Linked DNA regions of Oryzias latipes. The protein of the gene in region 1 purifies or fractionates together with the protein of each later gene. This does not show direct contact. Links are inferred from orthologs where the notes say so. Each region holds a gene or a part of one and is shown in the gene's direction. Other genes may lie near its edges.

Evidence for each region.
Region 2: the proteins of lamtor2 (region 1) and slc38a9 purify together in Homo sapiens (co-immunoprecipitation; 5 studies listed by BioGRID and IntAct, with this or other methods). This does not show direct contact. The link is inferred for Oryzias latipes from reciprocal best matches to the Homo sapiens genes LAMTOR2 and SLC38A9.

The regions. Positions count from the first base shown.
Region 1 is NC_019874.2:28,613,035-28,629,832, reverse strand, and holds lamtor2 (ragulator complex protein LAMTOR2), read left to right. Parts: upstream 1-6,714; 5' UTR 6,715-6,860; coding exon 6,861-6,928; intron 6,929-7,544; coding exon 7,545-7,707; intron 7,708-8,657; coding exon 8,658-8,747; intron 8,748-10,662; coding exon 10,663-10,719; 3' UTR 10,720-10,939; downstream 10,940-16,798. Other genes in the region: uncharacterized protein LOC101171775, read right to left, coding at 412-603, 732-788, 1,747-1,863, 2,775-2,945. UniProt on the Homo sapiens protein: As part of the Ragulator complex it is involved in amino acid sensing and activation of mTORC1, a signaling complex promoting cell growth in response to growth factors, energy levels, and amino acids.
Region 2 is NC_019870.2:27,092,991-27,109,185, forward strand, and holds the end of slc38a9 (sodium-coupled neutral amino acid transporter 9), read left to right. Parts: intron 1-565; 5' UTR 566-706; intron 707-2,208; 5' UTR 2,209-2,249; coding exon 2,250-2,341; intron 2,342-4,337; coding exon 4,338-4,467; intron 4,468-6,579; coding exon 6,580-6,698; intron 6,699-6,812; coding exon 6,813-6,876; intron 6,877-6,998; coding exon 6,999-7,092; intron 7,093-7,928; coding exon 7,929-8,099; intron 8,100-8,413; coding exon 8,414-8,473; intron 8,474-8,775; coding exon 8,776-8,967; intron 8,968-9,178; coding exon 9,179-9,286; intron 9,287-9,595; coding exon 9,596-9,702; intron 9,703-10,951; coding exon 10,952-11,065; intron 11,066-13,147; coding exon 13,148-13,296; intron 13,297-13,492; coding exon 13,493-13,582; intron 13,583-14,280; coding exon 14,281-14,446; 3' UTR 14,447-14,926; downstream 14,927-16,195.

The DNA.
Region 1 (16,798 bases):
ATAAATCTGCTGTATAAAACAAGAAAAAGAAAAAAAGCATGGAAAGTTGCATTAAAAATAACAGCAAAACAACAAGATGAAGCATGTTATAGCGAGGGACCGCTGTACCTCCTGGTGCTTCAAACGGAGCTCCTGAACTTGCGGTTACAACTATAACCATAAAGCTCAAGAAGGTAAACAAATAATCTGTTTATGAGCTCCATTCATTTACATAACACCTCAGGGTCTATAGAAATAAGGACATCTTTCAAATTTAGGCTTGAGACCTCAGTAAATGTCTTGCTTTAAATTCCTGATGTGGCCCCAGACTCTGTCTCCAGTGCCCCTGGGGTAATTGGAGTTTGACAGCCCGGGTTTAAAGGTAGAAAGGAGGTTAGTAGAAAATGAAAGACGTCCAGCTGCATAACTGACCAGTGTCAGCTGTTGGATCTCGTTACACTTCTCCTGCAGCGGTGTTTGGGTCACTGTGGCAGGGGTTGGGTAGCGATAGTACCCATAGTCGCAGCCCCAGGGTTCCATGGTTGCTATGTAGATGCTGTAGAGAACGATGGCTGTGATGGACAAAGCAACTCCTGCTACGCTCACGATGACGTTAAGGACCACCTGTGAACCCAAAACGGGTTTACACAGTTGAACATGAAACACGGTACTGCTTTAGTGAAGACATGCAGAGCTTTTTTTGCTCCCAATTTGAAAAGAATAAATAACTAAGAAAGTAGAAAACTGCTCACCAAACACCGACTTGGAAACCTCTCCGATAAAATGCACATGAAGCCAAATGCAATGAACTAGAAAAAAAAGGAAAGGTTCATCATGTCCTGTGGTGTTTAAAATGAATATGCTAGCATATTTTCTAATTCTGAATTTATACAAATTTTAAATTATTGTTTTATTTTTTATTTCACCTTCATCACTTCACGGTATCTTTTGGCTTTCATGCATATTTCATTTTTATATGTATCCATTATAATGCATAACTGTTTATAACCATAACTTATTTAGAATTTGAATCAAAATAAAGGATCTGCTTCAAATAAATATTAGCACTTAGCATTGTCATCAATGATCAGTATAATACATAACATACAAGTTATGCATATAACCCTGAGCCCTAGCCATTTTCTGTCATTCTTCATCCTAATTTATAGTCCTTTCAGAAGTCCTGCATCATACGTTTGAGATCAACTGGCTTTAAAAGTGCTATTTAAAATATTCTTCTTGTAAATTTAACAATCTTAGCTTTTTTTTTTGTTTTATTGTTTATAACTCCATTATCAATTAACAAATAATACAGCATTTTATTTTTTATCCTGTACCTCCTTCTTGGCAGTAAAATCAGACTTTTTTAGGTTCTTGTACTTCCTACCTTCTTTAATAGCTAAACTAAAGATTTATTTTATCATAATTTGACCTTTTGAACTTTTTTGTGTCATTAGAGCTGGTTTACAATTTATTCTGGTCATTTATTGATTGATTTAGGATTTGCAGTAATGTTGAGTTTCTTCTCAAATATCTACATGTCTTGTTTTTTTCTTTTGTCTGTCATATTTCATTATCAAATCCATTATTCATCTAATTTTGTCTTTAACTTGCACAATGTTCAGCATCAATTGTTTACAGCGTTGTCACCATAGCAACCACGCATTCTCACGTCAACTCCTTCAGATGAGGAATTAAGTTCTGGGATTTTGCTTTCAGCATTCTTCAGTTCATGAATGAAATCCAGTTGTTATGCAGGTATCTTACCAAAGCTCCCAACCAAATAGGAAACTCTGTCATATTTAGATACCACGCAGTGAGCTGACTCGTGCGGAGGATTAATCCAGGGCCGATGTTAAGGAGCCCAATCATAATCTGCATAGCCTGTAAGAGAGACACAGGAACTCAGTGTTCTGCAAAAACCTCATCGTGTTGTTTGCAGTTTTCTGTCATGGATTTCAAACATCACAAACAAAACATCTAAAATAATAGAAAATATCCAGATTAAGATAAGGTCTTCCTGAAGAATGTGTTATTACTCCAAATTATGAAGGCACAAATATGACTGAAAACTTCACAGTTTTTGTAGGTTTAGCTTCATTAACCAGAACTTTAAATGTCAAATAGGACTCTAGAACAGTTTGTGACAAACTGCAAAACATTCTCCTAAAGTTCAGCCCACTGTTGTTTTTCCACATCCATAGAATCCAAAAGGAACATTGTTAGAACGTTCTAGCACACTGTATGGTCACATGACTTTGCTAAATTCAGTGTTTCCACACATTGGACTGGAATGATGGACTGATCAGTTTCTGCTGACATCACGTGTGTGTTTGTCACAAGAACAGGCAGACAGCTGGATCCAAATGCAGCAGGTTTATTAGCTCAGCTAAAAGTCCACGAAGCTAAATCATGGTCAGGCAGATATGAGATAATCCGAGGAGAGACAGGGTAGTCAGGATCCAGGCGAGAGTCGGGGCAGGCGGCAGGCAAACAGAGTCAGAAACCGGGTCAGGAGACAGAGGATCCGGTCCAACTACAACGCTCGGTAAGGAAGGCAGAGCAGCACAAACGATACTTCTCACTGAGTGAGGCTCAGGGCAGAGCTTAACTATGCTGTGGTTGATGAGTGAATGAGAGTCGGGTGTGTGGCATCCAGGAAGTGTGGTTAGAACTCTGGAGATGGTTCCCACTGGTGACCAGAGAGGGAGACAGAGCTCTGACTTCTGACAGTGTTGTTGGCTGTGATGTCACTTTGTCGTTTTTACATTAGAGTAAAACAAACCAGGACTCACCCCAAGGATGGACAGAGACGCTTTCTTCTTCAGCGGCTGAGACACAGAGCACAACGCCGGGCTGTAGCAAAGACCTTTGAGGATCTGGCAGATGGGGGGGCAGGAACTGCTGGGGTCGGAGTTCAGGGTGATCACTGTGACCCCTTCACCTTTGGTCATCATCACAGACATCCTGTCTGCGGATGTAGGAAAAATATCAATTATGTGAAAAATTGCGATATTTTATTGGTCAGTAACAATGTTTAAAAAACAAATTTTAAGCAAACATTTAGCTCAGCGTCTTACTTTTGTGTTCCACTTTAACCCATTGATTGTATGTGAGAACTGGAATGAGTGAGCGTGACGTCACTCATAGAAAATAGTTCACTTCCTGGCCTGTGCTATCCATGTTGGAGCCAGATGTTGTGAGTTGAGCTGTGATTTGTTCAAATTGAGCGGAGTCAACGTTTCTATGGCAACCACTCTCTGAAATCAGGACTTAGTAATGTTGGGAGGTCACACCTCTACCATTTTAAAGTGGACTACACAAAACATGTCAATCAAACGTTTTAAACGTTCGACATGGGTGCCAGCAGGCTCCCCTTACTTTGCTTGAGGCATCTATAATTTGAATACCTTTAACAATAGAAAATGTATCAAGACAAAAATAGGATTATCAAAGTTTATCAGAAGTCCTTCTGACCAATAGATTGACTGAGAAGTCTAAAGAAGTTTATGGGATTTAGGTTCCAAACACTTCCTGTTTGGAACAACAGGGAGAGGGGTCACTCAATCCAGTTCTCATATACAGTTAACCACTAGTTGGCAGTGCACCACAAAACGCCTCATTTAGCAGCTCTCTAATAAGATCTAATGAGAACCGTCTCATAGTAGATGTTTACTCTTCAGTGAGGCGGCAGATGTTGTTCCACAGCTCAATGATGCTCAGTTTAACCTGAAATAGGCAAATTTGTTTCTTTGATCTTTTAATCTATCATCATCATCATATAGTTCAATAAAGCAGTTTTGGAAATGTGTAGCACTTTATTTTCTTAATCATGCTTACTGGTTAAGGCACCTTTCAGCTTTGTTTTTTTTTTTAATAAAAAATATCCTGTTAACAAACCAAACAATACTGTGTTGAAAAAATATTCCATAATTTATCTAAAGAAAAGCACCATGAATTTGCTTTGGTAAAGCAACTTGTTCGCAGTCTGTGTCACACAGCCACTACGTACATTTTGTGCACAGGTGAAAATTGTTCATATGTGAATATACGTCTTTACATGAAATTTTCACAGATGTACAAATGAACCACAGATGTACAATGGAAGATGTAAGAATAAACCACGCAAAGAACACGTAAATCTACATAGAACATGAATTTACGTAATTTGAACATGATATGTGCGCCGTATACGCAAAGTTAAAGGTTTACATCAACAGTATATGCATGAAACGTCTGTTACACATACGTGGAACGGTCATGGAAAGTCAAAAATGTGTATGCGACTCGCATAAATCTCACACAATTGCTTAAGATTTACTTAATAATTGTGTGTAAAGGCCCGTACACACCGGGACGAATATTCGCCAGGCGTTATTCGCCAGCGTTTTTCGCCATGTTTTTTGTGTTCACACCCAGGCGATTTTCGCTGACAATGAGCCGAGCCAACATGCAATTTCATTCCCTGACGTTAGATGGCGCTTAATGTAAACAGAAATACTCCTGTACACAAGGTGGCGCTGCGCAACTTTATGCTTCTTAAAGTCGCTTTTCACTCAGAAGAAGAGAGCAAGTATTTACGCGATTGTCAGAATCAAACAAAGAAAACATGAATATTTCAAGCACCAGTAGCTCCAACTGGTGCTTGGTTCGGGGATATTTTAGAATGTCCGTCATTATTTCTTCGTGGCAGTGTAGACGCTATTTGGCGTCTATCTTCTTCGCTGGTATGTGTGCTCAGCAAGGCAGTTTTGTGTTTGAGCGCCCCCAAGTTGTGTTTTACTGTCACTTCAGAAGCTCCAGACACGTGTGCAAAAGCGCCATTCTCATTGGTCCAGTAGATTTCGACGCGACGCGTCGAAAAAAAAAAACGAACCCGAGGCGCTTTTTTTTTTTACGCTTTGACGCGTGGCGTTTTTTCGCGTCGGTGTGCACACTCTCATTGGTGCCCTTTGTTTAGTCACGAGGCGTTAAATTCGCCGACGAAATTTGTCCCGGTGTGAACAGGCCTTAAGCTATGTAAACTACGCATAAACTGCAAAATTTCAAAACCGCTCAAAACCAGACTCACGCAAAGAGTCGTTGGCCGAAATCCTCTACAGATCTGTGCCCATTGACAAATGAATGAATTACGTTTATCACATATGTTTCACAAAAGACAGAACTTAAGCAAAATGTGTGACATGGCCTTAACCCTTGTGTTATCTTAGATGACCCCACCCTTACATTGACGTGTTCTCCCTGCCATGACAAAGGTGGATAAAGGTGGAAAGATTTCATGTAATCCATGGACACCAGTGAAGATCACAAATCATTGAAGAAAAAAGGTTCAGAGCACTTCTAGTGGGTCTACATGACCTAACTCTCTGTGTTAAAGTGCCTATGATAGCACAAGGGTTAATGTTCTGATAATGAAATAAAATGTATTTTCTGCCATTTTATAAAGGTGTATTAGTATTCACTCAAAGTTTTGCAAATTCATACTCTTTTTAAAATTGGTGATATTTAGCCTTTCTTGCAGCCACACTGTACATACTGATTAGATTTTTTTTGTAATTTCTTTTCTCCAAAAGACACTTTTATTCGTCATCATCATTTGTCCTTTCAGTTGCAGAGACTAGAATAGAAAAAACTGATTTTTTGACCTTTCATCTAAACTTCAGAGGTGTCAGAATGACCTCAAAGAGTTTTACTATAAATTTAAAGAGTTAACTTTTTTGTCACATATCTAGAAGGAAATGTGTTTATTTCCTTCTGCCAAAATGAGACTACATCCTCTCTGATTTTACACCACGTCTGTAGCTTTCAATGGTTGACGGTATAAACAAAACTGTAAACGGATGCACTTGTGTGACTATAATTTTACCAAAACACATATCAGAGAATACATATTAACCATGCACTCATGTACCATAGCAGTTACAGCATGGAATCAAATCAACTTTTGTTTATACAAATGATTGGTTTGTGTCTTTTTTATAAGTGTGTCCACTCAAACACAACAGATTTACCTCTTAGAACAAAATCCTCTTCTTACAGACAAAAAAAAAACAATAATATCCTCGGCCCGATCACTTTTTCTGATGTCCAAAGGGCAGGAGGGAAACGATTCTGCCAAACACTTTGCGCAAACATGTCCTCCCACCAGGAAGCCAGCAGACAATAAAAACCTCAAAGCAGACTAACCTTTACTGTAAGGAGGAGTGTCAAAAGATTTAAATAACACTTCTTTGGTTGAAGTAGAATAAAAAGTACACTTCTTTGAAGCATAAAATCTTTGAGATAAAAACTCTAAATATGACAAAGGAGATGAATCAAGGAGGTGAAGTTTTCGTCGTTCACTGAAGCAAACTATATTTCCCATGATACATTTCCAAAGAACTGGTCATATTCTAGCAGCTCTAATAGGTGTGAGTGTGAATGGGAGTGTGATTGTGGCCCTGCGACAGACTGGCAATCTGTCCAGGGTGTCCCCTGCCTTCACCCACAAGTGGCCGGGATAGGCTCCAGCAGCCCCGTGACCCAGAAATGGACAAAACGGAGGAAGATGAATGAATGGCCATATTCCAGTTCTCAAAAATGTTTACAGACTACATGGGAAAGTAATTTAAAACAAAAAGATTTGTGAAAAAATCAGGAATAATTAAAAATTTAAAAATAAAGTTTAAAGAAAAACATAATAAATATAAATAGGAAACATGTATTTGGATATAACTGCAATTCCCATGATGCATCTCTAAATGTACCGGAAAAGGAAACAGAAGAAGAATCGAGTCAGCTGACTTTGCTCTGTTATTGAGCAGTTCTCTCTTCTTTTTTAAGCCCCGTGTTTATTCAGTCAGATCATTTTTCTGGGTTTTTTCTCCTGAGAGAGGTCGGCCATGTTGCGACCCAAAGCGCTGACGCAAGTTCTCAGCCAGGCGAACACGAACGGCGTCCAGAGCACCCTGTGAGTACCGCGAGCTAGCAGGCTAACATCCAGCTAGCTAGCAGCGGTTTGTTTGCGTCTAGCTCCTTAGAACTCTTAAAGCTCCCCTGAAACGACACGTTTATATAATTATTACTTCACCAACTTAATACTACTTTTACATTTTCATTATTTATTGCAATAAATACAAATATATTTTTTCAAGATTTGTTTTCCGCTGTTAAATCAAATACAGTTTTACACGAATTTCAAGCAGTTGAATTTTGATTTCAAAATAAGAGTCTTTTTAAAATATATTTGGTTCGTTTTTATTTTTGCTTAGAAAGTCTGTTCAGGGTACAAAATATCATTATCAGGTAGAAAAAAAGCAAAAAAAATCGATTTACATTTAAAAAGTGGTGTGGGAAAATAAGTAATCTGTAATGTTTGATGTAGATCTGTTTGATATAGATCTGTTCATCGTTTTAGCCATTTTGCATCAATCGATCAATTTCTGTCCTGGAGACCTCCTGACAAAATTACTTGGTTTTCATGGTTTGAAAACGGAATGGCGTTTGTCTTAAAACTTTGTCACTGTAACTTTTCATCATTGTGTTGTTTTTGTGTGTAATGAACAACCGTCTCTCTGTGCGAGCAGCCTACTGAACAACGAAGGCTCCCTCCTGGCGTACTCCGGTTACGGCGACACAGACGCTCGAGTGACCGCTGCCATCGCCAGCAACATCTGGGCCGCCTACGACAAGAACGGCCACCAGGCCTTCAACGAGGACAAACTCAAGTTCATCCTCATGGACTGCATGGTGGGAACTTTCTCCTTGTTTTCCTTCAGCCCTTTTGTTGAAGTTAGATTCTATGAATGCCCCAACATCTCTGAAGGGGTCTGCAATTTGAGGCATCACAGCTGTTTTTTTTCCCCCTCCATTGTGACTTTAAAGAAAAAATGTGTATTATTTAAATAAAATAATGTGTTTGTAGTTTTGCTTTAGCATGCATACATGGTGGCACCTGTTCAGTCTGGTCTGTTTCAAACGGGACCAAATGGCTCTTTTAATGTTGTACAAAATATGAATAATGGGACTTGAGCAAACCTTCAGATATGGAAGGAGCTGGCTCTTGATACCAATAGCACCACAGGAAGACACCAAACACACACTCCTTGTACTCCTTGCCCATTTTTTTTTGCCCCGCTCTACAGTTTTGTAAACATTGCTCAAGTCAAACGTGTCAACGTCCTGCATCATTTTTCTCATGATACATAAATAATCTTCGCTCATGCAAACAACCAGATGATTTTCTTATTTCTAACTTCCAGCTCTGAGGCAAAATGTTTAACTTAATTCCCGAAAATCAGCGAATCCACACAGTAAAACCCCCACTCTGCCTTAGGAGGAGGGGCTTTGTGGAGAGTCTTGCTCTGTAGATGGAGGGGAAACCTGCTGCATTTGGTCGCATAAAAAAAGCTGAGATCCATTCTTTCAAACCTGTGATTCAGTTCGATTTGCGCCTCATCGCCCCTTATTCAGTAATAATTCATGTCTGCACATTAGCTGAGAGCTGCTGAACTGAGTGAAGGTCAGGCTTACATAAATACTGTCGTAAATCTGAGCATCGCAAACTAACAGCAAAGCAGTGTTCTGTGAGAAATCCATCTGACTTAGTGGATTTATGATTGGAAGTTACAACCTGTAAAGAAAAGTGACTTTTAGTCTTTGGACTCGACCAATAAAAAGGCTTTTTTTTTTTTTCTCAGGAAGGGAGAGTGGCCATAACGCATGTGGCTAACCTGCTGCTTTGCATGTACGCCAAAGAGACGGTGGGCTTCGGGATGCTGAAAGCAAAGGTGAGGGCGCTGCTTCCTCACATGGGTCTTCATCAGCTGTGGTTCCTCAACGAGTCCCGATTCCTGACCCCACAAGTTCAGTTCAACCAAGGACATTTATTCACTCGTTTATTCATTCACTCTCCTCTATGTAGTTTAGTGGAAGTGAAGCATATTTCAGATCAAATTCCGATTCCAAGTTATTGGATTTGGAGTTGCTGCCGATACCGAGTTCCGATCTGTTACTGTCGTAGCACATCCAAAAAAAAATGACAAACTTAATAAACAGATCAACATTTTCCAAATTTTTAAAATTTTATTAAGCTTCTTTTAGCATTTTACACGTAAACAGAGCACTTCTGGGAAGTATCTTCAACAATCAAGGAAAAGTAATGCAATTATCAAATAGAAAAAATAGTTAACTATAAACTAGTACAAACTTGTTAATAGTTAACTAGTCAAAATAGGTTAATTAGCCCTATGAGAAAGTTTGGTGACTGTAGCCTTAACATCTTCAGAACTGTTGAACATTTTTGATCAGATGTGATTCATTTCCCTGTTATAATATCAAATAATCAATTTCCAAATTCATCGTTGTAGCATAATTATGATGAGTATTTGTGACTTTCAACAGAACCATTGACTAATCGTTAGTATTTTTATTATTATTATTATTATTATTATTATTATTATGTATTTATTTATCTTGGTCTATTTTTCCCAGAACTTGCACTTTGTAGGCGGTCCCTTATCAGCCCACCATCAGTTTCATTCTCTTGAAAAGAATGAAAAAAAGAGCAATTTTTATTTATTTACTATTTACAGTCTTTGTAAGTCGTTGGTAAGTTAAGATGAGCCAATATAGACACTTGCTGTCAGTATAAAATGTTTGATATACCGTACTTATTGTGTCAGGAAGTCTGAATCTGTGAACAACTGGTTAACTTTCCCGAACTGTGTTTGTGCGCCTCCTGGTGGCGTATTCCTGCTCCGCTTTACGACAATAAAACGTCCTGATCCATTCAGGAAGTGCCGACTTCTAGTAGAGTATTTATCTGTAATGTTAAAAATATATATATAACGGTAATTTCATTTTGATTTGACTTATTGGTTTATTTCAAGCCTTAATTGAATTAATAATAATAATAGATTGGATTTATCTGTGCTTTTCCAGACACTCAAAGCGCTTCAAATGTGTCCATTATTCATTCACTCTTCATTCATAGTTGGTTCGCGCCTACGGTCCCTCGGACCATCACTGGGATCATTCATGCACATTCATGCTGGTAGCGTTAAGGGTCTTACCCAAGGGCCCTCACTCACTGGTGTTTACTGCTCACCAATTCAATTGCTTGCTTGTTAATTCCCAGCTCTGTGAAGCGAACCCTGGTTTCCTGCATGTCAGTCCTAAAATATCTCTGATTTATCAAGGTCATCACAGAAAGAATGAAATGCATTGATTAAACAAAGACGCATTTAGGTCACGTTTGATTGATTACATATAGTGATAATTAACTACAGTCAAGTAGAACTTGATTTATTCTTTAAAGGGGCAGGAAGGAGCAGATTTATATAAACCCACCCTTACTGAGTTTTTTTTTTATATTTTTCATAATCCAGTTTATCCTAATAATGATAATAGAAACATTACAATCCCTGATTGACATCACTTTTTCAAACACCTGCAGAAGAACAATCAGAGAAGAGGAAAAGAGCAATGAAAAAATGACAGATTGAGGGAAAAGCTTTCTTTTTAAAAGCTTTTAAACTTTATCTTTAGTCTTTGAAGAGGCCATATTCCCCAGATTAACCTTGGCTCTCATGCACAATGATCTGTGCAGCTCTCAAAGTCGGGTTGGAAATACGAACACCCGCCGGGATGAGCTTCTGGTTCCCCACCTGAACCCGCCTTCTGTGACCGTGTGTGTGCTTGCAGGCGGAGGCGCTGGTGCAATACCTGGAGGAGCCGCTGACTCAGGTGGCGGCATCGTAGTGAAGAGTGCTTGATCTGAGGCCTTTGCGGACTTCTGTAACTTTCTGCTTTTCATCTGTGTGGGTGTGAGTCTCTCCAAAATGTCCTCCATTCTGCCCCCTGCTGCTCAGAAACGGATCATTTTGGATTCTGGCAGAACTTTGGAAAATCGTGCTTTTCTGCATTTACAATTATCATGCTTTTATTTTGAAGGTTAATAAAAATGTTGGTTTAAAAGTTGGACGTGTTTCCTGTTATCTTTAAACCAGATTTTAAAAAGCTAAAAGTCAAGAAATACTTTTTAAAAACATCTCTTTGCTCTTTGAAGGAAGAATTGATGGATTTTTATTTTCCAGATGAGAAACAATAAACATGTTTGTTTCATTTCATGATTCAGTCTTTTCACTTGAATCATGGAAAATCCAGCTGCAGCTTTAGAGGACAGGTGTAACAAAACAGGTGAGCATGAAAAAGAAGAAATAAAACAAAGGGAGCCTTTTAAAACTTCAGACTTATTTTCACTTTGTTTATAACCTCAGCGGTTGGTTCTGAGCTGCAGTCATCCTCTCCATTCACTTCACTCTCACTCCTTCACCCTCCCAGTAACTCAGGTTAGTGACATGAACCTGCTGCTGTGGGGTTGCTGGTTCAAGTCCACGGCCAGCAGGAGGAGTCGTTCCTCTACTGTTGAGCAAAACAGAAAAATCCAAAGCAACCTTTGGTTTTTTATCCGGCAGTGTCTCTGTATAAATATTGATGACAGAATCATTTATTAGTGAAAACTTTTTATTTGATCAAAACGGCAGAATTTGATCAGAAAGTAGCTCAGTTTTCAATTCTGATTACATTCTTTTAAATTCAGAGTAACAATTCTCATTTGTAATTTTTCTCGGTGTTTAATGTATATATTTTTTTTATTATTCAAACTTCTGTTTTTAAGACAGTTTTTGTGTTCTGTGTTTTTTCTTACATAAATAAAGTTGTTTGGGTTGGAATCCTTCCGTGTGCCATTTCAGAAAAGTGATCACTTCAGCAGAAAGGAAAGAAGCATCTGGAATGTGAGATAATTTGATCATGAAAGACAGAACTTCCTGTGATTACAGCAGAAAATTACTGACAACCACCGTGTGACGTATAGATAATTCACTCATGGTGTAACTAGAGAGACCTAAATAAAAGTGCGAGGCTGGAACAGTCACCCTGAGGAAGAGCGGTTCGGAGCAGAAGGGTTGTCTGTTTCCAGCTCTCCTCGTGGAATTCCTACCTGACTCTTGGCGTCTGTTTCCTTTGTTAATACTGTAGCGTCCCACTGACGCAATAATGAAGCGGAGGCGACCGTTTCTAACCGTGAGGCTTTTTAATGACTTAGGAACAGTTACTGTCGGCCGTAACCACGCCAAATACAGCACAACGATAATCAGAACTTTCCATCAAAGCATCCATCCTCCCCCAACCCCCTCGTGCACCCACGACCCCTCCTTTATTGTCTGCTCCTCCGCCCATTCTCCCGCTCATCCAATCACACTGGAGCAACGATGTAACCCAGAACACATTAACAGAGTCCCAAAAACGTTAGTCGCTACACTGCCTCCCCCCTACAAAGTCCCACGTCCCGTGGGGTCACACACAAAGTCACGGAGGTGGGGGGGAGGCTGTCTCAATCTCCTGGGCCTCCGTGGAGCCGGCACGGATGGCGCCATGTGATGTCCCGAGACCACCTGCTGCTGTGGGGGTGCATGTGGGGAATTGGCGGGGGGGCCAGCCCTAGCATGGGTGGGGGTAGCTGAGGGGGGCAACGACCTCCCAAAGTACTGCTGTGGCCGTGCATCACCCCTATACGGAGCCAGTCTGTCCCTGTGGAGGGTCACACGCCTTCCTCCAGGTGGGAGCTCAACCCTATAAACCACTTCTCCCAGCTTTTCCAGCACCTCACAGGGCCCCACCCACTGACAGTCCAACTTAGGGCATCTACCCTTTTTCCTTTTCGGGTTGTACACCCACACCAGGTCTCCTGCCTTGAAGTCTTTGCCTTTGGCCCTCAGGTCGTAGTTCCTCTTCTGCCTTATGCCGGCTTTCTCTAGTTGATTGCGGGCAAAGGCATGAGCCGTGTCCATTCTGTCCTGCAGCTTCCTGGCATATTCAGGTCCAGGCGGAGCTCCCAGGGCATCAGGGGGTTTCCCAAAAGACATTTCTGCTGGCGTGCGTAGCTCTCGTCCCAACATGAGCAAAGCAGGTGTGCATAAGGTGGAGTCCTGCACTGCAGACCTGTATGCCATCAAAACGAGTGGAAGATGCTCGTCCCAGTCGCTCTGGTGTGCTGAGGTGAGGATGGCTAGTTGCTTCACCAGGGTCCTGTTAAAACGTTCAACCAAGCCATCACTTTGGGGGTGTAAGGGGGTGGTCCGTGTCTTCCGCATGCCCAAACGCTCACACATGGCGGAAAACACAGCAGACTCAAAGTTCCTCCCTTGGTCACTGTGAATGACCTCAGCAGCGCCAAACCTAGAAAACATGCCCTCCACCAGGGCATCTGCAACAGTCACTGCTTCCTGGTCTGGGATGGCATATGCTTCCGGCCATTTTGTAAAGTAGTCCATGGCAACCAGAACAAATCGGTTACCTCTGTTTGTGCGTGGAAACGGGCCCATGATGTCCACTGCTACTCTCTCCATTGGTGCCCCTGCTGCCAGCTGCTGGAGCTCAGCGCGGGACCGATCAGGGGGGCCTTTATGCGCTGTACAGATGTCACAGCGGCGGCAAAAGTCTTCCACATCCCTCCTAAGCTGGCCCCAGTAGAACCCCTGGCGGATGCGACGGAGGGTCTTTGACACGCCAAAGTGTCCAGACCCTGCAGCTCCATGGCAACCTTGGAGGACTGAGTTTCTCAGCGTACGAGGGACCACCACCTGCCACCGTTCTTCTCCGGTAGCCGGCTCTTTCCAGGCCCTCTGAAGTACTCCATCCTTCAGTCTCAAAGCATCAAACTTTTCGAAGAGTCCTTTGGAGCCGGGGGAGCACCCTGCCACCTCCCCCCACTCAGGTTTGCGGCCGGCCTCCACCCACTGCAGCACTGGTTGCAGGTCAACATCCTGCTCCTGATGCGCTCTCCATTCAGTGGAGTCCACACCCTGCACCAGTCTGCAAACTGGCCAGCTGCTTTCACCGGTGTGGCTCTGCTCCTCTCTGCTGATTACTGCTTCCCGAGCCTCCCTTTTCTCACAGTACTGGCAGCCTGCCAGGGCACAGGGGCGTCGAGACATGGCGTCAGCATTAGCATGGCGGGAGCCCGGTCTATGCTCCACTGTGAAGGAGAATGAAGCCAGCTCCTCCAGCCAGCGAGCGATTTGACCTTCTGGCTCCTTGAAGGTCATCAGCCACTGCAGAGCAGAGTGGTCTGTCCGGACTGTGAAGGGGAGGCCGCACAGATAGTATCTGAAATGGCCTATGGCTTTGACAACAGCCAGGAGCTCCCTGCGAGTCACACAGTAGCGCCGCTCCGCTTTACTGAGGGTCTTGCTGAAGTAAGCCACCACCCTCTCTCCTGCTGACCCCATCTGGCTCAGCACGGCCCCCATTCCCACATCACTGGCGTCCGTATCCAGAATGAAGGGTAATTTGGGATCTGGGGGGGTCAGGATAGGAGAGTTTGTCAGAGCCTTCTTCAAAGAGCTGAAAGCCTGCTCACACTCCTGCGTCCAAACAAAGTCACAGTCCTTCCTCTGCAGGTGAAACAGAGGGGCAGCAATGCAGGAAAACCCGCGAACAAACCGCCTATAATAGGAGGCTAACCCCAGGAAGCTCTTCAAGTCTCTTAGAGTGGTGGGCGTTGGCCAGTCTCTCACAGCTTGCACTTTCTCCTCCAAAGTGCTGATGCCCTCGCCCCCAATCTTGTGACCCAAAAACTCCAGTTCTCTTCTCATGAAGCAGCACTTGTCAGGGTGCAGCTTCAGACCTGCTGCAGCAATCCTCTGCAGGACTTTCCTCAGCGATTCCAGCGCAGCCTTGAAAGACCCCCCGTGTACCAGAATGTCATCCAAGTAGACCAAACATTCCTGACGGGGGATGGAGGCCAGCACCTTCTCCATCAGGCGCTCGAACGTGGCAGGAGCGTTGCACAGGCCAAAACTGAGCACGCGGAACTGCCACAACCCTCTCCCGGTGCAGAAAGCAGTCTTTGGTCTGGCTGCGGGGCTGAGTGGCACCTGCCAATATCCACTGCGCAGGTCCAATGAGGAGAACCAAGATGAGCCAGACACCAAGTCCAGAGACTCATCTATGCGGGGCAGCGGGTACGAGTCCTTCTTGGTCACCCCATTCAGCGGCCTGTAGTCCACGCAGAACCGCATTTTCGGACCCTTCTTTTTCTTGACCATTACAACCCCTGAAGCCCAGGGGCTGTCTGACGGCTCGATGATGCCGCCACGCAGCATTTCCTCAATCGCACTGTCAGCAGCCACTTGGTGGGCAAGGGGGAGGCGGCGGGGGCGTGTTTTAATCGGGCGGGCATCTCCAGTATCGATCTCATGATGAACTAGGTGTGTCAGCCCCACCTCATCCTCAGAAAGTGCAAAAATGTCTCTATACTCCAACAGCACCTTCCACAGTTCATCCTTCTGTCCCGGCTGCAACCCATCACAGCTGCGCCTCCAGATCTCCTTCACAGCTGTCACTCTGTCAGCCTCAACCACTGCGTTCCGCTGATCTGAGGGCAGTGGCTGCGTCTCGATCTTAGGTTGAGGAGTGGTGGGCAGCGGAATAGAGTAGGGCGGGGACAGGTCCTGTTGCATCTCTACCGCCCTTGATGTCTCTCGGGGTAAGCACTGGGCCCGAATGGGTCGGACCATGGGCACCTTAGGCCCCCCAGGGAACTCCAGGGTATTACCCCCTAGGTCCAACACACATCGGGCTGCTCTCAAAAAGTCCAAGCCCAATATGCACTGATCCTGCACAGCTGCAACCCACACCTTACAATCCACCGTCATGCCACCCACTCGAATGTTCGCTGTCCCCCGGCCAAGCATGGGAGTCAAGTCCCCGGTCACAGTTCGTAGCTTGACAGCTGTGGGTTCCAGTAGCATCTCAGCTGGGACCATGTCAGGCCTGAGCAGGGTGGCAGTGGACCCTGTGTCCACAAGTGCTACACAGGACACCCCCTTTATGGTTATGGGAACGTGGCAAAAGTCCCCAACATGGGTCCAGCCCACAACTCTGGTCCACTCCGCACTGTCGTCTGCTTCTGGGGGGAGTTGAGCCTCCCTCCCCCGGCTGTCAAGGTGGGCTCCATCTGCTAGCAGATCATCAGGGTGGGACATGCGAAAACGGGTCTGTGACGTCCCTCCTACACAGACCCCGGGCCGTTTCCCTGAGGAGTCATACGCTTGGGGCACCGCACACTGATGTGTCCAGCCTGGCCACACACCCAACAGACAGGGGCGTCGCGGCGGAAGCGGCTACCCTTTTTCGGGGGCTGCACGGCCACGGTTCGGATCAGTTCTGTGAGCTCTTGGACCCATCCTGGTTCCTCTGGGTCGGGGGCTGCTTTTTCTACAACCCTCACAACAGGGTTGCAGCCAATGGCACCATTCTCAGCAGCAGCTCCAACCAGTTCTCTTTCCAGCGCCGTCTCCAAAGCTTCTCGAAGGGTGCAGGGGTGGGCCAGTTGCGTCTGTACTCTCAGGTCCCTCGGAGACAGGGCTCGGATGAACTGATCCCTCGCCAGCTCAGCTTGGACCGCAGCGGGCATGTGGGGATAGGCTCTTCTTGTAAGAGCTTCAATGTCAGAAGCCAAAACCCGCAGTGGCTCATCTGTTCGCCTCTGTCTGTTTGCTAGCTCTGAGCGCAAAATAGCAGGCTGGCCAAACTGTCCAAAACGCTGCTGCAGAGCTCCAACCAAAGCCTGGAAGTTGCCCCGTTCTTCTGGACTAAGCAGCAACAGACAATGGGAGGCCTCGTCTGTGAGGCACAGAGCCAGCTGGAGAGCTTTAGTGTCTTCCGACCATCCGGCGGCCCGAGCTAACAGTTCGAATTGTGCATAGAAAGCCTCCCAGTCAGCCTTACCGGAGTATTTGGGCGTTTTCATTGGTAGCTGGTTGCACAGGGC
Region 2 (16,195 bases), on another chromosome or scaffold:
AGATGAGAACAAATGACTAATTTTAGTTGTCGTTTAGTCCTTTTCGGGCTATTTAGAATGAAAAGAGGTTACCTTTTGATGCAGTTATTTGAAATTGGACATAAAAATAGAATTTTCTGCAGAAATGTGCGATTGCTTCAGCTGGATCTGAAGATGCGGAAGTTAAGAATAACATGGAAAATGTATTGCTAAAGCAGAAAAATGTGTCAACATTTTCTAATCCCTCAATGGGTATTTAATTGTCTAAAGAAACTGAACACGAATAAAAAAAAAAGATTGCAAATAAGTAATGATATTATCTGGGAAAGTGACCAAATCTGCTGCTCAAAAATGTTTGGTTATCGGTGCGCGAAAAGTCCCATATATAGTCAAATCTGCAAAAGAACAACTAAAAATGTGTCTGATATCATTCAGGAGAAGTGGTTAAAGCGTGAAGGTGAACTCCTGGATCAGAAGGTTCTTGACATGACGGCAGTCAAAGCAGTTCTGTCAAATGATCTTCCCTCTCAGTTGAGTCCATCCCAGAAGCAGCATTCATCCTCTCCATTCACTCTTCTGCCATCAGAGCAGAACCCACTGACCCGCCTAAGACCCGCCTCCGAGTCCCGGGCGACGGCGGCGGCGACGGCGTTCACTGTGGAGACGACCTCTGCCGCGGACAGACGGGAAGCGGAGCTTCAAACGTCCACTTAGACTCTTTTCCAAAGTGAGTGAAGTAGAAAAGCAAACACCGAGCGGTGAACCAAATCTGAGAGCTGAGCTGTAAGCAGAAGTGGAACAGCAGAAGCACTGAAAGCAGAAGCAGAGCACAGCGTTTACAGAGAGCCCTGCAGAAACCAGCCTGTGCACAAACCCTCACTCCTGTCCTCATCCAGGGCCCAGATACTGGTTGGAGCTTCTGCACACGCGTGTTGGTTCTCCCAACCGTCAGTGGTCACCTCAACCCCCCCGCCCTTCTGGAAGAAGCTCTTTTTTTTTGCTCTCAGAGCGTTTTGGCTGCAGGTTGAGTCTGTGCTGCAGAATATTTGAGGTCTGCTCTGTTTTTTTGTTTTATCTTTGCAGCATCTTAAAACTGTATGTGTCTGGGTTGCACAGCGGTGTAGCGGTCAGCACTTCTGCCGGGTTTGAATCTTGCCTGAATTTGCATGTTCTCCTTGTGCACGTGTGGATTTTCTCTAAGCAAAACATGCTTGATAGAGTAATATGGGTTATTAAAGACCCACTCCGATAAAAACGGTGTGTTTAACATGTTCTTGTGGCATTTTTCTATTGATGGAGGACATGTTTAAAGAAAAAAAAGAATAAACTACATTTCTGAGTGGATCAAACAAATTAAGTTTAAAGAAGATTGTATTGGTGACGTACAAAAATACGCTGGACGGGCCACAAGCTCCCTGCTCTGCTCCATTCTCATGGATCCACTGTCAGGTAAACAGATCCATGAAGGTCTTTGTTTTCCTGGTAGCTCTGATACTGCTCGCTATTTTTGTTGCCGGTAATGTTAGGTTGGGGTTCTGAGGGGCTGTAAGCTAGCAGGAGAGCATGTAAACGGAGAGCGGTCAGTAACGGGGAGGTTGAACTCTGAGGTGAATTCCTGCCGGTCTGCAGAAACTACGTCCTAGAAAAAACAAAATGTTTCCTGATTTATTTATTATTTTTTTTAGTTAAAAAGGCCAAATCATTAAAAGACCACTAGGAAGACACATGGGAGTGGGACTTTAAGTGTGAGCCTGTGTCCCTGTGATGGACTGAGGACCTCAGTAATCTGGATTCTTCCTCTGACTTTGCAGAACAGCAGAGGGACGTTTGTGTCTTTGCTTTGCCGCTGCGGTGCTGCACATTTGTGGTCACGATCTTCAGAATTGGCAGGTTTGGTCCTGGTTCACGCAGATCTGGCTTCCTCTGATGGTCCTTCTGTGAGGAAGACGCACAGGCGTAGTGTGAATGTGACGAAGCGGGAACCCTTAAAGGCCTTCTCGGTTACCGTGGCGATTAGCTGCCAGTGATTCCTCAGTAGTCTGACGGGACGCAGCTTTTCTTCTTCCTCCTAGTGGGAGCTCGTCTCAGAGGGTAGCGCCACCTAATGAGCAGTTGTTGGAACTGCAGGATTTTTAGCCAGTCTGGCTCATGACCAACTGGGGGGGGGGGGGGGGGGGTATTCATCATCCACAGAACTGACCCAGGAACCGCTTCACTGTTTGTGTGCAGCAGGTGATGAGAGCTGGGAGGCTTCAGCTGAAGGCGTGATCATGGAGGAGGAAGGCCGGCCTCTGCTGAGCTCGCAGCACGCCGCCGACTCCCCCCAAGCCTCTGCGGGATCGGTGGACGCCAGGGCCAAAAGGTGGGACCGCCAGTCGTCTTTTCCCTTCACGCCAGACCCCCCCCCCCCCAGTGTGCTTCAGTGTTTGTGTTTCAGATGTTCCCTTCAGACTTTACAGCTGTTCAACGGTCACTCCCTCCATGTGACTTCGGTGGGATTGATGGGAAAATGGGATCGACCCTTGACCCCCCCCTCCCCCCGCTTCATCAGATCATTTTCTGTCCTCCATCAGCTGTTCTCTCTGACTCCACCCACTGTCACACTCCTGTGTTTTCTTAACATGAATACTGGTATTTGGGGGGGGGGGTCACATACAGGCTGACAGATTTTGTGGAGTTAAATGTTCCACTCTGAGCCCCCCCCCCCCCCCCCACTCCTCTGGTCAGCTTCCTAGTGTTCACTTTGAGCGTGTACGCTAAGACTCAAGCCCCCCCAGCCTGGCCCCCACATAAGCAGTTTATGTGAATATCAAAGCTGTTTGGTATTTCACAGAGACTAGCAACCCCCCCCCCCCACACACACACACACACACACCCACCCCATTAACATCCTGCCACTGAAGAGGACGTTCCATGTTTGTGTTGTCATTTCTGTGAATCCATGTTGTTGATGCTGCAGTGGGGGGGGGGTGGATGATAATAGAGGCTGATGCTGCATATTTTCTCCTGGGGGGGGCAGATTTTTCTCCATGACTGGAAGAACTCTGTGCTCTGCATTTGTGGAAAAGCTGTGGGATCCAGGAAGAGGCGAGTCTAAAGGAAATGTTTCCGTTTTGTCTGCAGGTTTTCAGTCGGGCTGAAGCCAGAAATGAAGCTTTGATACGTTTTTATTCAGGTTCAAACACGGTTCCTAAACAAAACACATCTAAATAGCAAAGTCCCAATTCCTTTTTTTTTTTTTTTAAATAAAAGTGAACTTCTAAACAAAAAAGGCATAAATATAAAACGATACATGTCAGAAAATAAAAATTAAAAGTTTAATTTTTGTAAATGGGATTAACCCTTGTGCTATCTTAGCACATTAAACGGAACATTTTTTATATCAATGCGCTGTCTTCAAAGTCCCAATCTGATCATGTTTTGGTTTGGTTCCCAGTGGTCCCAGCCAAAATAGAAAAACTTGTTGTTTTCTAGGACATAGTCTCTGCAGAGCGGCAGGTGTTTGTCAGAAATTCCCCTCTGAGTTGTGGGCGGGCCCGTTGGTGCAGAGCCTCCCCACCAACCCTTATCAGTCTCCGAGGGCTCTCTGTTTACATTTTCTCCCGCTATCTTACAGCCCCTCACATTAGCGGCCTACATCACTAATGAGCTCTTTTTCTAAATGTAATTTTCTTCATCTGCTTCCAATTCACAGCGATAAATACTCATAAATGCAGTTTAGAGCTTCATTTTCTTTACAGTGTAAATATCCTCCATCGTCAGAAAATGTTGGAAACCCAAAAACAGCCTTATCATCACAGTGGGTCTATAAAAGCTAAACTTGGTTTCATTCTCAATTTCTTGACTCTTAATCTTTTTAAGTCATCTCCAGCTTTGGTGGATCATCATGTAGCTTCAGACACAAACCTGCTGAGAACTTAAAGTCGTCCCCCCCCCCAAGCAAGTGGTGGGACTGAAACCACCGGAACGCTGAAGTCATGAGAAACTCCAGGAAAAAGCTGAAGTGGAAGCCAGACTGTCTGACTGAAACGAGGTGCAGCACAGGACAGGCAGGAGTTCTAGGTGGAGGTTTAAAGCAGAACGACGCATGGGATGGGGTTTAAGGTGGTAGGACAGACGAGGCCGAGGTTTAAGGCGGAATGACGGATGTTGGTGACTCTGTCAGAATAAAAACAGATGTGTCAGAACCATAAACAGCTGCTTGGTCCGTGTGTCTCTCCAGCCTAACGTTATTGCAGCTGTAAAGCTGACGCTGCACAGGAAGATGTCCTCTGTCACGCTGACTCAGGAAACTTTACCCGTCTGAGCTGCTGACTCTGCAGAAGGTGTCTAAATAAGGGTTTCTTGTGCTCCCGCAGGCCTTTCTATGTGGAGCCTCGAAACATCGTGGACCACGACCCTCAGGAGAGGATCTCTGCCGAAGCCGCCATCCTCAACAGCAGACTGCACTACTACAGCCGGCTGACGGGCTCCTCTGACCCGCTGCTGGTGGGTTTGCTGGCACCACCAGAAAGATCAGGATCTCCGTCCTGACAGCTGCTCTAAAAACGCTTCGATGCACATTTGATCCCTTGTGCCATCTTGTGGGGTCCAGATGACCCCAGTCCCAACGTTAACGTGCCTCGGAGGCACGTTAACGTTGGGACTGGGGTCATCTGGACCCCACTAGACAGTGCGCTGAACCTTTTTTCTTCAATGATTTGTGATCTTTACTGGTGTCCATGGATTACATGAAATCTTTCCACCTTTATCCACCTTTGTCATGGTAGGGAGAACACGTCAATGTAAAGGTGGGGTCAATTTGACCCCGCAAGATAGCACAAGGGTTATAGCAGGAGTCGGTGTTTGTATGGAAAAGAGCTCATGAAGGAGAGATTTGTAGGGTTGAAGTCCACAAAACGACCCCCTGAAATCTTTTCAGCGTTCAGAAAATGTGCAGTTGATGTTAGAAACTCCACAGAAATGGAAGGAAGTGAAATCCCTTCAGTGTCCGGTGGGTCTGGGTCAGGAGGAAGACTCTCTGTCTGTGGCAGCTCTTCCTGGAGGACGCAGAGGTGTTCCTCAGCCAGACGTGGAAGTGCAGCTTCACGCCTGACTCACATTCCTCATCCGCCTCATTTTTTTACAGTTTTACAAAATCCTTCTCGCTTAAAAACTACAAATAATCGCCATATTCTTTATGTCTATGGAAGGGTTTTTGTAGCATAATTAAAAACAAGTCAATACCAGAAATGCTTTTTTATTTTCAAAATGAAGCTGCATATTTTTAACTTAAAATTGAAATGAAAAAACAATTATAGCATTAGGCTAATATTTGCTAAAAATATTAGCCGTGGAGGAACTTAAAACTCCGTGCGGGCAATGAGCATCATGGACGTAAATATGTGGGACTTGCATACATCAGCCTTTATTTTGTCTGGACACCACTGGAAACCCAAATTCATGTGATGGTTTAGAGCAGGGGTCGGGAACCTATGGCTCGCGAGCCATATATGGCTCTTTTGATGGTCACATGTGGCTCGCAGACAAATCTTTAATTATACTTTTTTATTCATTAGACCAGTCCTTCTGGGGCGCGATGCGATGCCAGAGGCGCGCAGTAGTAGCGGTGCTTGGAGAACAAAATCTACACCAGCACTATCAGTTACTATTATCTATTATTTCACAGAGTTTGTACCAGCCGGAAACCTGTGAATTGCCGTGCCTAAAACTGGGCGCTCCCGTCTTTGAGAAAGAGCGCGCAGATGCTGGGACGGGATGTGTGAGGAAGAAAGCAGGGGCGGGGGGCACGGCCAGTAAGGTGAACCGCGCAGGGAACCTTAAAAGAGGTTAAGTCTCCGTGCCTCAGTGTGGGAAAGGGACACTACATTAATGTATGGCTCTTTCGAAATTACATTTCAAAATATGTGGCGTTTCTTGGCCAAAAAGGTTCCCGACCCCTGGTTTAGAGTATCTCAGATCTGCGTAGCAGCACTTCCGTTCGGCGATCCGGCTGCCGGTCCGAAGACAAAGCTAGTCCTGGGGAAAGTTTCGACGGAACGCGGTGCGTCTGAAGGCAGAAATGCTGCGACGTAGTCCTGAGAAGCTGTGTAAATTCATCAGGAGTTCACAACCGTCACAGCTCCTCTGCCGCTAACACAAAGCTACAAGCCTGGCCGCACTGCTCCTCGCATAAGTCTCTTAGCAGCCGGACACACGGTTATAGCACTGACGTCATCGCCCCGCCTCCCCTCCGGAAATGCTAAGTCGACTGAATTATGCAACACTATTCGCAGGGTGGATGTGAAAATGAAAATGCGATCCCCTCTTTGCATTTTCGCTTTAATTATGACACAGAATAAGCGGTTTTTAAGTAGAAAATGAAAAAGCATTTTGAAGTATTGACTTTTATTTTTAATTATGCTACAGAATCGCTTCCATGTGTGTCAGAGTATTAAAACAAGATGACATTTTTTCTGGTCGTTGTTTCTTATGCTGATGTCAGGATGCTGTCAGATCACAGAGACAGAAAATCATGATGACTTTACAGCTTTCAAAGGCTCATCAATATCAGTTTGGCTCCAACTGACCCCCCACCCCCTCTGCTGATGTTTTTCCCAGAGCCCCCCAAACCATGTGGTCCCACAGCCTGAGGAGATCTACATCTACAGTCCTCTTGGTATCGCTTTCAAGATCCCAGAAGGAGATCAGACTTCCAAGAACTCCAGCCTCATATCCATGTGAGCCCCCCCCCCTCCCCCCCCCGCCCCCCCCCCCCTCCCCCCCCCCCCCCCCGCCCCCCCAAGCGCCATATTCCTCCTCCCACAGCTCTGATGTTCCTTCTGGTTTTGCAGCTTCGCCATCTGGAACACGATGATGGGGACGTCCATTCTCAGCATACCGTGGGGCATCAAACAGGTGACGTCTTTTAGTTCCACCCCATGGAGCGGCTTTTGCCGTCTGAGCGCGCTCAGCAGCTGGAAACCTGTTTCTGTTCTGCACGCCTGAAGGCTTCCTGTCTGTCTGAACTCTGCTTGCAGGCTGGCTTCACGCTGGGAGTCGTCATCCTGGTGCTCACAGGGCTGCTCACTCTGTACTGCTGCTACATCGTCCTCAAGTCGCCAAGGACCATCAGTGAGTCAGGCCCCCCCCCCCCGTCAGCATTCAGGCCAGACTGTGATCAGATGCTAGATGTTTGATTTTATTTGTTTGGTTCAGAAATAGTCCAAAGTACAAACAAAGAAACTCCAACCTTTCTCTGTTTTCACCACGAGTCGAACGCCAAAACGGAGAAATCCTAAAACCCAGAAAAAAAAGTTAATTTTCTAAAAGAAACCAAATTTAAAGCCTCTTTTTCCAAGTGAATCTGTTTATTTAAACCCACAGATCAGTTCTACTTGGAGTTCTGTTCATTTTGGAAAATATTCCTTTGGTGGAAGCCTAATGGATCCAGTAAAACATTTGAGGGGGGGTTTGTCCTCATAAAGTTTAGCCCGTATGTCGGTGCCAAACGCTTCATCACCAAATTCAACACCTAATTCTGAAATTCTGATAAACATTGTCATTGAAAAAATAAACAAAAACAGGTTTGACATTTTTGTTTAATGGATCCAGCACTGATTTGATGACGATACCAACCAAAAAAAAAGGCCAGATGGATAGATGGGTGGGATTTAAAGAACATTTTTCAACATCAAAATACCCCCCCGGCCCGCCCCCAATAATATTCTGTACATGGCTCAACAGAGCTGCAACATTTGGCGGTTCTGGTAGTTGAGAATGGAGGGGGGGGGGCTTAAAGAAAGTCCTCAACAGCTGCTGTCTCAGATGAAAATCATGACGGTTCTACAGGATTTGGGCCTGAATGCTCGTCAGAGCAGATGCTGCCTGACAGTCTTAGGATTTTCCTCACCTTTCAGGTCCTTGAATCGGATGTTTTCCACGTGAAATGGCAGACCTTTGTTTTTCAGAAAGCGTGGATACCACAGACTGGGAATTTCCGGACGTGTGTCGGCACTACTTTGGAAAGTTTGGCCAGTGGTCCAGCCTCCTCTTCTCCCTGGTGTCGCTCTTAGGAGCCATGGTGGTTTACTGGGTCCTCATGTCCAACTTCTTGTTCAACACGGGGCAGTTTATCTACAGTGAGTGTCACACACACACACACACACACACACACACACACACACACACACACACACACACACACACACACACACACACACAAATAAACAAAATAATAATATCAAAGTTTCCTGCAGGCGGAGAAAGTTTCTGCCGTTAGAATGGTTCTATGCTGGGATGGTTTTCTAGGTGCTGAAGTTCTTCACATCCTTTCTTGTTGTCATGGTAATTCTGTACCTTGTGGGGGCGGGGTGGGGGCTGGCCTTCCACGTTTACCTTTAGGCCTCATCGTGTTTTTCTGTGGTAGAAAGCAGATTTCCTGTGTCGTCTGCAGATCAGGCTCACAACATCAACGTGTCAGATTCTCAGTTTGGAAACAACGGCTCCGATCAAGGTAAGCGTTCCTTTTGAACGGCTAAATCATCGTTACATGAATCTTACTTAGTGGCATTGACTGTCATTTGTTTTTCTTTGGAATATTTTCTGATAGTTTTGATTATTAGTATGGACTTCCTTTGTTTTAAAAACTCATTTTCTGGTACTTTTCAAAAATAAAACGTCCTTTAGGATCAGATAAGACAAAACAAACATGTTACTTTTTTCTCTCTGCTGCCGTGTCCTTTGGACCGGTACCGGTCCGCTGGCTGACTGCGTCTGCTTGGACTGATGCGGTATCCCGTTGTTTTTGGTTTGCAGTCATCTGTCCGTACCCGGTCATACACCCGGAGGGGGACGACTGCGGCAGCGGCGGCGGCGATGCCGGAAACGACATCTCCTTTGGGCGCTACTGGAGTAAAACCAACACGGTCCCGCTCTACCTCATCGTTCTGCTCCTCCCACTGCTCAGCTTCCGCTCCGCCTCCTTCTTCGCCCGCTTCACCTTCCTGGGTAAGACAGATCCAGATCCATGGGGTTAGCTGGAGCGGGTTTCCCTCAGACTTTATGTGGAGCAGACATGGAGGAAGCGTGGCGTTTATCCGTTCAGACCTGCTTTTTCTGATGCTGAGCGGAGTCTAACGGGTCAGAGGGACGTCGTTTCAGTTGTTTGGTTGGAGGCTAGCCAGGTGACGGCTTCATCACTTCACATCGTCTCTTCCAGGAACCATTTCTGTCGTCTACCTGATTGTTCTGGTCACCATCAAAGCTGTGCGCCTCGGCTTTCACCTGGAGTTCCACTGGTTTGACCCCACCCACTTCTATGTTCCAGGTAAATCCTGTGCAGATGATGGAACGCTCTTTTATGTCTCCTGAACGGAGATCGCGCCTCTCCCTCTGGCGTGGAGGAGACGTTTTTATTTATTTATTTGTTTTATATATTTTATAGACAAAATGTCAGACAAGCAAAACAAGTAGTTCAGGTGCTCTTTTGACCATTACAAGACAGAATGAATAAAGAACAGTAAATATTTAATTGCCAGTGACATTCTATTTAATATGTTTGATCAGGCCGCCCAACCTTTTGGAGCACTGTGGTGGTCCTGAAGCTGATGTGGGGTCTCTCCTCCTCCTGTTTCAGAGTTCAGGGCGCTCTTCCCACAGCTGACCGGCGTCCTCACTCTGGCCTTCTTCATCCACAACTGCATCATCACACTGATGAAGAACAACAAGCATCAGGAGAACAACGTGAGCCGTCTCCGTCATCAAAGTCCTTGAAAACAAACCTATTGAATAAGTCTAGGCTGTAACTGCAGTTATTTAGGGACAGTAGGCCTCCCCGATCAGTAAGTAGCTGTTGGATGAATCTAATAACCTTTCTCTCTATTAACGTCTACAGACTCAGACAGATTTGGGTCAGACTGGACAGACGGATCATTTCATTCTATAGCTGCGTCTACATGGACAAAAGTAATCGGAATGAACGCCTGATCGGAAGGAAAATGCGTCATGTAAACACAGTGTTCGGAATACTCTGCTCCGATCAGACTCGTTTGGATCAAAATTCTTTCAGATAGGTGGGTTATGCCGACCGTTGATCATGTAAACGGTTCATTCCGAGCGTGTGTCACTGCTGCTCTGGTTTTACGTCACGCAGAGACGATCCTCCAGAGAAAGCTTTGGAGCGCAAACAGGACCGACCGGCTGGTCCGTGCGACTGAACCGCGTCTGTGAGCTCAGCAGCCGGACTTACAGCTTTGTGCTTACGGGCAGGGGGGGGGGCTTAGTCCTTAGAAACCGTTTCTAGTCGTGTCCTGACAAAATAAAGGATGATGTTATTCCCACCTATTTACATGCAGCCAAGATGCAGAGTGCTGCATTTCCCGCATGGATTTATGTTCATCGAAGGCTAAATGTTGTTGTTAGCGCCTGTTAGCCTTCAACTAACCCTTCTTCCAGCTCTGTTCCGCCACAAAAAAAGCACCGACCACAGGGATTACAAATAAATTGATGAGCGAACAGGCGCTTCAACATTAAAACCACGTTTAGAGGATCAATCTTTGATCGGATCAAGTTATTTCTTGCATGTAACCGTGGCTTATGATGAGGTTTTTTTTAAAAAATTTTAAAATTTCTTTTTGATGAGGTCTTTAAAGCCTGTCTGGAGTAACATGCAAACGGCGTTCCTATCCCAATTAACATTTTGAAAGTTTTTCTCAGTGTAGTTTTGCTTGCTTTTTTAATGTTTTTATTATTTTTTTTAATTTTGCTGCATCCCTGACTCTGTCATCTTTAAAGTCCACACTCTGGACTCTGTGTGTCGGTGCGTAAATGTTCTTCTCTGAGTGTTACTTTAGCGCCACCTTGAGGACCCAGAAAGAAATTCAGTTAATTTGAGATGGAAATGTGTCCAGACTGGACAGAAATGCAGAAAATCATGTTGACGGTGTTTGTAGATCCTGATAGTTTGGAATGCTCCTGTCTGTTCATGCTTCAGGTTCGGGACTTGTCTGTGGCGTATCTCCTGGTGGGGCTGACATACCTCTACGTGGGGGTGTTGATCTTTGGCTCCTTTCCTTCACCGCCTCTCGTCAAAGACTGCATCCAGCCGGTACGTTTTTTTTAGAGTCGTGGAAAAACGCACAGAGGTTGGTCAGATTTCCAGCAGACGGTCCAGCGCTGAGGGGCTGAAGGGGGGGACACCAGCTGCACACGGACCTCATTCTGGATGGAGACCCAAGGTTTCCCATGATCCTCCAAATCATTGCATTGTTAACCACCAAGAAAAGCTTTAGACCCTTAAACTGTTGAAGGTTCGCGTGGTTTTCAGCCTCCCCACATGCAGCTTTTCAGAACAGTTCCACAGTTCTGCTGGTGTCGGTTCTGTTGGTGCTGGAGCCTTTAATGGTATTCTGTATTATGTGTGAGGGTACCATAGTCTAGAGCAGCGGCTCTTTCCACATAGCTACATTCAGTAGCCAGCTAGTGAGAAATGATGAACTAAAATCAGGCCTTTTTCAAAAATCTCCAAACTTTTTTTTTTTTCCATTTGTCTGACTGAACATAGTTTTGCATTGACCAGTGGGTTTGCTAATAATTCAAAACAATTGAATACATCTAACACCTTTGTTTTAGCGGTGGGGTAAGAAAGTTTATGTATTTTCCAGATTCTGCAGCTTGTTCCGTGTCAAAAACCGAGTTTGGTCGGAAATGTTCATCATACAAACACTTCAACTATGAGAGACAGAATGTGGTAAAAGAATCCAGGATTTTAAATAATTTATTTGTATAAAGGTGAAGAAAATTGATATTTATCTCCCACAAACAGACAAGGATTCTGTTCCTCACAGACCTGTTTCTTATTTTATAAGAGGCTCTGCCTGTATTCATGTCACCAGTTAGAACTGGGTATCTGTATAAAGACAGCTGTCCACACCCTTAACCAGTCAGACTGTTGCCTCTCCACCACGACCAAAGAGCTGTCAAAGGACGCCAGGAACTAGACTGTAGATCTGGACGAGACTCGATGAACCAATCTACAATAAAACAAGCAGCTTGGAGAGAAGAGATCAAGGCAGAATCCAGATTCTTCCTCTGCTTCTACCCACCCCCTACATTTAGCCCTCCAAACGGAGAGTTATGGAAAAAAAAGGTGTCTTCTAATTCGGACGCCACTCTCTCTTGATGACGTCATCAATAGTCGCAGGTCATCCACATTGTGGCGTAGCTGCCAGCGCTCGGAAAATGCATAACCACATCGGTTTTATAACGGTAAAAAGTCTTGCTAAAACAAAAAAGTGATGACTTGCATTTAAATGTAAACTTCAGTGCTTCAGAGCAAACCCACATGAAGAAATGCGTTTGTCCTCCACGGCACAGCAACGCCGCAGAGGTTTGCTATTAAAAAAGCTATTTCGGACACCCCAATCCTTCTTGATACCCCTGCAGTTGAGGATAGGGAGAACCCGAAGGGGAAGAGTTCTGATTCGGCCCAAGAGTTGGAGCAATTATTAGAAAATGGAGGATCACAGACAATCTCCCTCCACCTGGAGCTCCGTTAAGATCTCACCTGGTGGAGAATAAATGAGAACGGTGGGGAAACGGCCCAGAGCGATGACCTGAAGAGAGCTGGGATCACGTGTAACAAAGGGCACTATTGCTGCTCCTTGAAAAGAAAAAAAAAAGCATGCTTATTTTCTGCACCGTTATACAAAGAAATTCTTTCCTGGATATTTTTTTTACATCTTTCATCTCTCAGACAAACAGACCAAACTCAGCTCTTTGTGTGGGAACTCCTGCAGAATGTGGGACTCAAATACTTTTTAGCTCCATTGTAGAGGAACCTGAAGTCACTGTGGTTTCCACCTTTTTTTATTTTTACTACGTCAAAATGCTGCTGCTGAACACTCACACACGTGGGAAAAAAGGTATCTTTAACCTCATTCAGGGCGTTTCATGATCAGCACGTGGTTTGATCTATTCTGACTGTGTAACAAACGCAGAGCGGTCAGAGTTTTTCAGCAGACTCCTGGCCGGTGTAAACACCGTCTGATGTGAGGAGCAGACCGCAGTCTGTTCCTGAACCATATGGACTTCAACCAAAGTAGTGTTCAGGACGGACGGACGGGTCGGAAGCAGAGAGAACCAGGTTCATTTTCAGGATCAGAGCTCAGACCGGATCTTTGTCTTCCAGAACTTCCTGGATAACTTTCCCAGCAACGATGTTCTGGTCTTCGTGGCTCGGATGTGCCTGCTGTTCCAGATGGTCACGGTCTATCCTATGCTGGGGTACTTGGTGAGGGTTCAGGTCATGGGTCAGTTCTTTGGAAACCATTACCCCAGGTACGATGCTGTCAGAGACCATGATGTTTGGTTTTCTGCTTCACTTAATAATAAATTCTCTGTGTCGTCATGAAAAGAAACCCAGTTAAAGCAAAGCTCTGAACAGAACCCGAATAATGTCATGTCAGAGGAACATGAGACCATTAACAGAGTTATATAAATAATGTCTGATAGTGGTTCTGCATTCTCTCCTCAGCTTCTTCCACGTTCTGGTTCTAAACATCTTCATAGTGGGGCTGGGCGTTCTCATGGCCAAGTTTTATCCCAACATTGGATCCATCATCCGGTGAGTTCTGATGAACGTGAACGCTCCCGGCTCAAAGCGAGGCCTCTGAGGGTCTCAACAAGTTCAGATGTTGATAAAAATGTTGTTTTTTATGGTTGTTTTTGCCCTTTTTTATTAAACCTCTCTAGTCTCCTGGAGATGGAGGGAGGGGGGGGGGGGGATATTCTTTCTTAGATTTGATGGGAAGTTCGTCCTCAAGTTCAGGGAAAAAAGACTGTAAAAGGTCAAAAGAAAGTAGTTAAGAAGGTCAATACTCTTCCTTTTATTAAATCAGTGGAAAGACAAAAATAATTCTAAAATAAGGCAAAAGTTGTTTCCAAATAATAAAATGTAAATGTTCAAACTGAGCATCTTTTGTTTACAGTCTTCGAGGTCAAACAGTAATCAGAGTAAATGTAACTGAGGGTAGAGGATCTTCATCATCTGTCTTCTTGAATGACAGAATCCTGAACCGTATTTAGCCCCTCCCTCCTCCATATGGGGAGCCGCTCAGCCGCCTCCATGTGGGTCCGGTCTGCGGTCCTGCAGGAAGATGCGCTGGAGGTCCCGGCCTCCGTCGTCTGCACGCTCTGAGGCCAGCAGCCCTCAACCCCCCCCCGAGCAGCAGGACCTCCACCGGGCCGCAGGTCCGCGTGCGTTTAGGGCGGGTCCAGCGGGATGCTGACGCCTCTCTCTCTCTCTTTCTCGCTCTCCTGCAGGTTCTCTGGCGCCATCTGCGGCCTGGCTCTGGTCTTCGTGTTTCCCGCTCTAGTCCACATGATCCCCCTGAAGCGGGAGGGCCGGCTCACCTGGCTGTCTGCCGTCCTCCACAGTTTTCTCATTGTGATCGGCGTGGCCAATGTGGTCGCTCAGTTCCTCATGTGAAAGGCCGTCAGACCCCCCCTCCCCCCGCCCCCTCTAGTCAGTTATGAACTAGGACTTTGAAGAGGAGAAGGGTTGTGATGAAGATCGAGTAACTTCGGAGCTTGATTCATATTTACGTTTGTCTTTGGTTGCTACACGCCGTTTAACAAAACCGTGCACGCCTCACATGCACACCTCACGAGCACATCACTGGCGTGACCTAACAGGAAAAGAGGCGGGACTCGGCGTGAATGCGTCTCCACTGAGAGGTTCTGAGCTCGTGTCCTCATCCGACCCGCTGAGGTCCTGCTGGACGGTTCTGAGAGGAGCTGCGTTCACCGTCACCACCGAGGACCCCGGGAAGACGACCTGTTGGCCTTTTTCAGGTCTGACCTTCTGCGTTTGTTTGAGGCCCGTTCATCCAATGAACCGTCCTCCCCGAGTTTTATGTTAGGATTGAAAAAAGGGAATTTTGTGAGAAAATAAAAAGTTAGACTTTAATAGACTAAGCGTCCTCATTTCCACTCAGACCATCAAGGTGAAGTTCAGCTCGGCTGGATCAGAAATGATTCCCTGGAAGGATCAAGTCGGACAAACATCGGTGTGACAGGAATCTTTTCTAACGTGCTTACTTTTGGAAATGTCCTGAATTCTCATAAAAACGTCATTGGTGAGGCAAACACTACTCCAACTCATCACAAGGGGGCGCCTGTGGACTGAGGTACTTTGAAGCTTTCATCCTATAACCCTTGTGCTATCTTGTGGGGTCCAGATGACCAGGAGTGGGATCATCTGGACCCCACAAGATAGCACAAGGGTTAAAGGGGATCTACCAAGTCAATGAATTTCAATTATTGTTTTATAATTGACGTTTTCTTATCGCTCTAGTAAATACATTAAAATTCCACCCGATGATCTATTTTCACCTCATTTCCCATCATCCCGTTATTTGCGCTCATTCCCACTAGCTATTTTTACGTTAAACATGTTAAAAACACTATTTTCATCAGAGTTGGTTTAAGACGATGTTATCATCCAGAAAATAAATTACAAAATATAATTAGAGATGCAGTTTTGACCCCAAATAAATTCCTTTGAACCTTTTAACTATTTGCACTGAGACTAAAGGAAGCTCTGGAGGTCAATACAACATGGAATTTGACTGAGAATCAACATTTAAATGAACATTTTTGTTTGAATTAAACAGTTGTGGAGATTAATCATGTGGCTCCACTGATTCTCAGGATTCTGAAAAGACTAAAAAACATTTCTCCTCCGAGCTGGACTTCAAAACCTGATCAATAACTCAGATTTTCTTCTAAAAAGGAATCATTTATAAGTATGTGGTTCACTTCCTCGGCCCTCCAGAGAACCGACACGCACACATTGTAGTTCAACAGCTAAAAGGAGTTAGAAGAGCCACAGGTTTCCCGTTATCTGCTCAACGGGACACAGCGCCCCCGTGTGTGTGAAAAGGGAAATGCATGTCACCGAGTTTTTTTTTCTTTCTTGGTTTGACATTTGCAGATTTTACAATAAAAAAGGTCAGGAATTGGCAGATGTTCGGGTCCAGACTGTCTTCATCTATTCAGCGGAACAAGAACACTTTGGGTCAACGGATGCGTTTCATGAACCAAGTTTGCAACCAGGCAGATACTCGCCCAAAATGCAAATGATAAACTTTTTATTTAAGACACTTTTGAACATGAATTTTTTTATTATGTTTTGAAAAAAACTGTTTCGAATGTAAGCTATAAAATATAAAGTCTA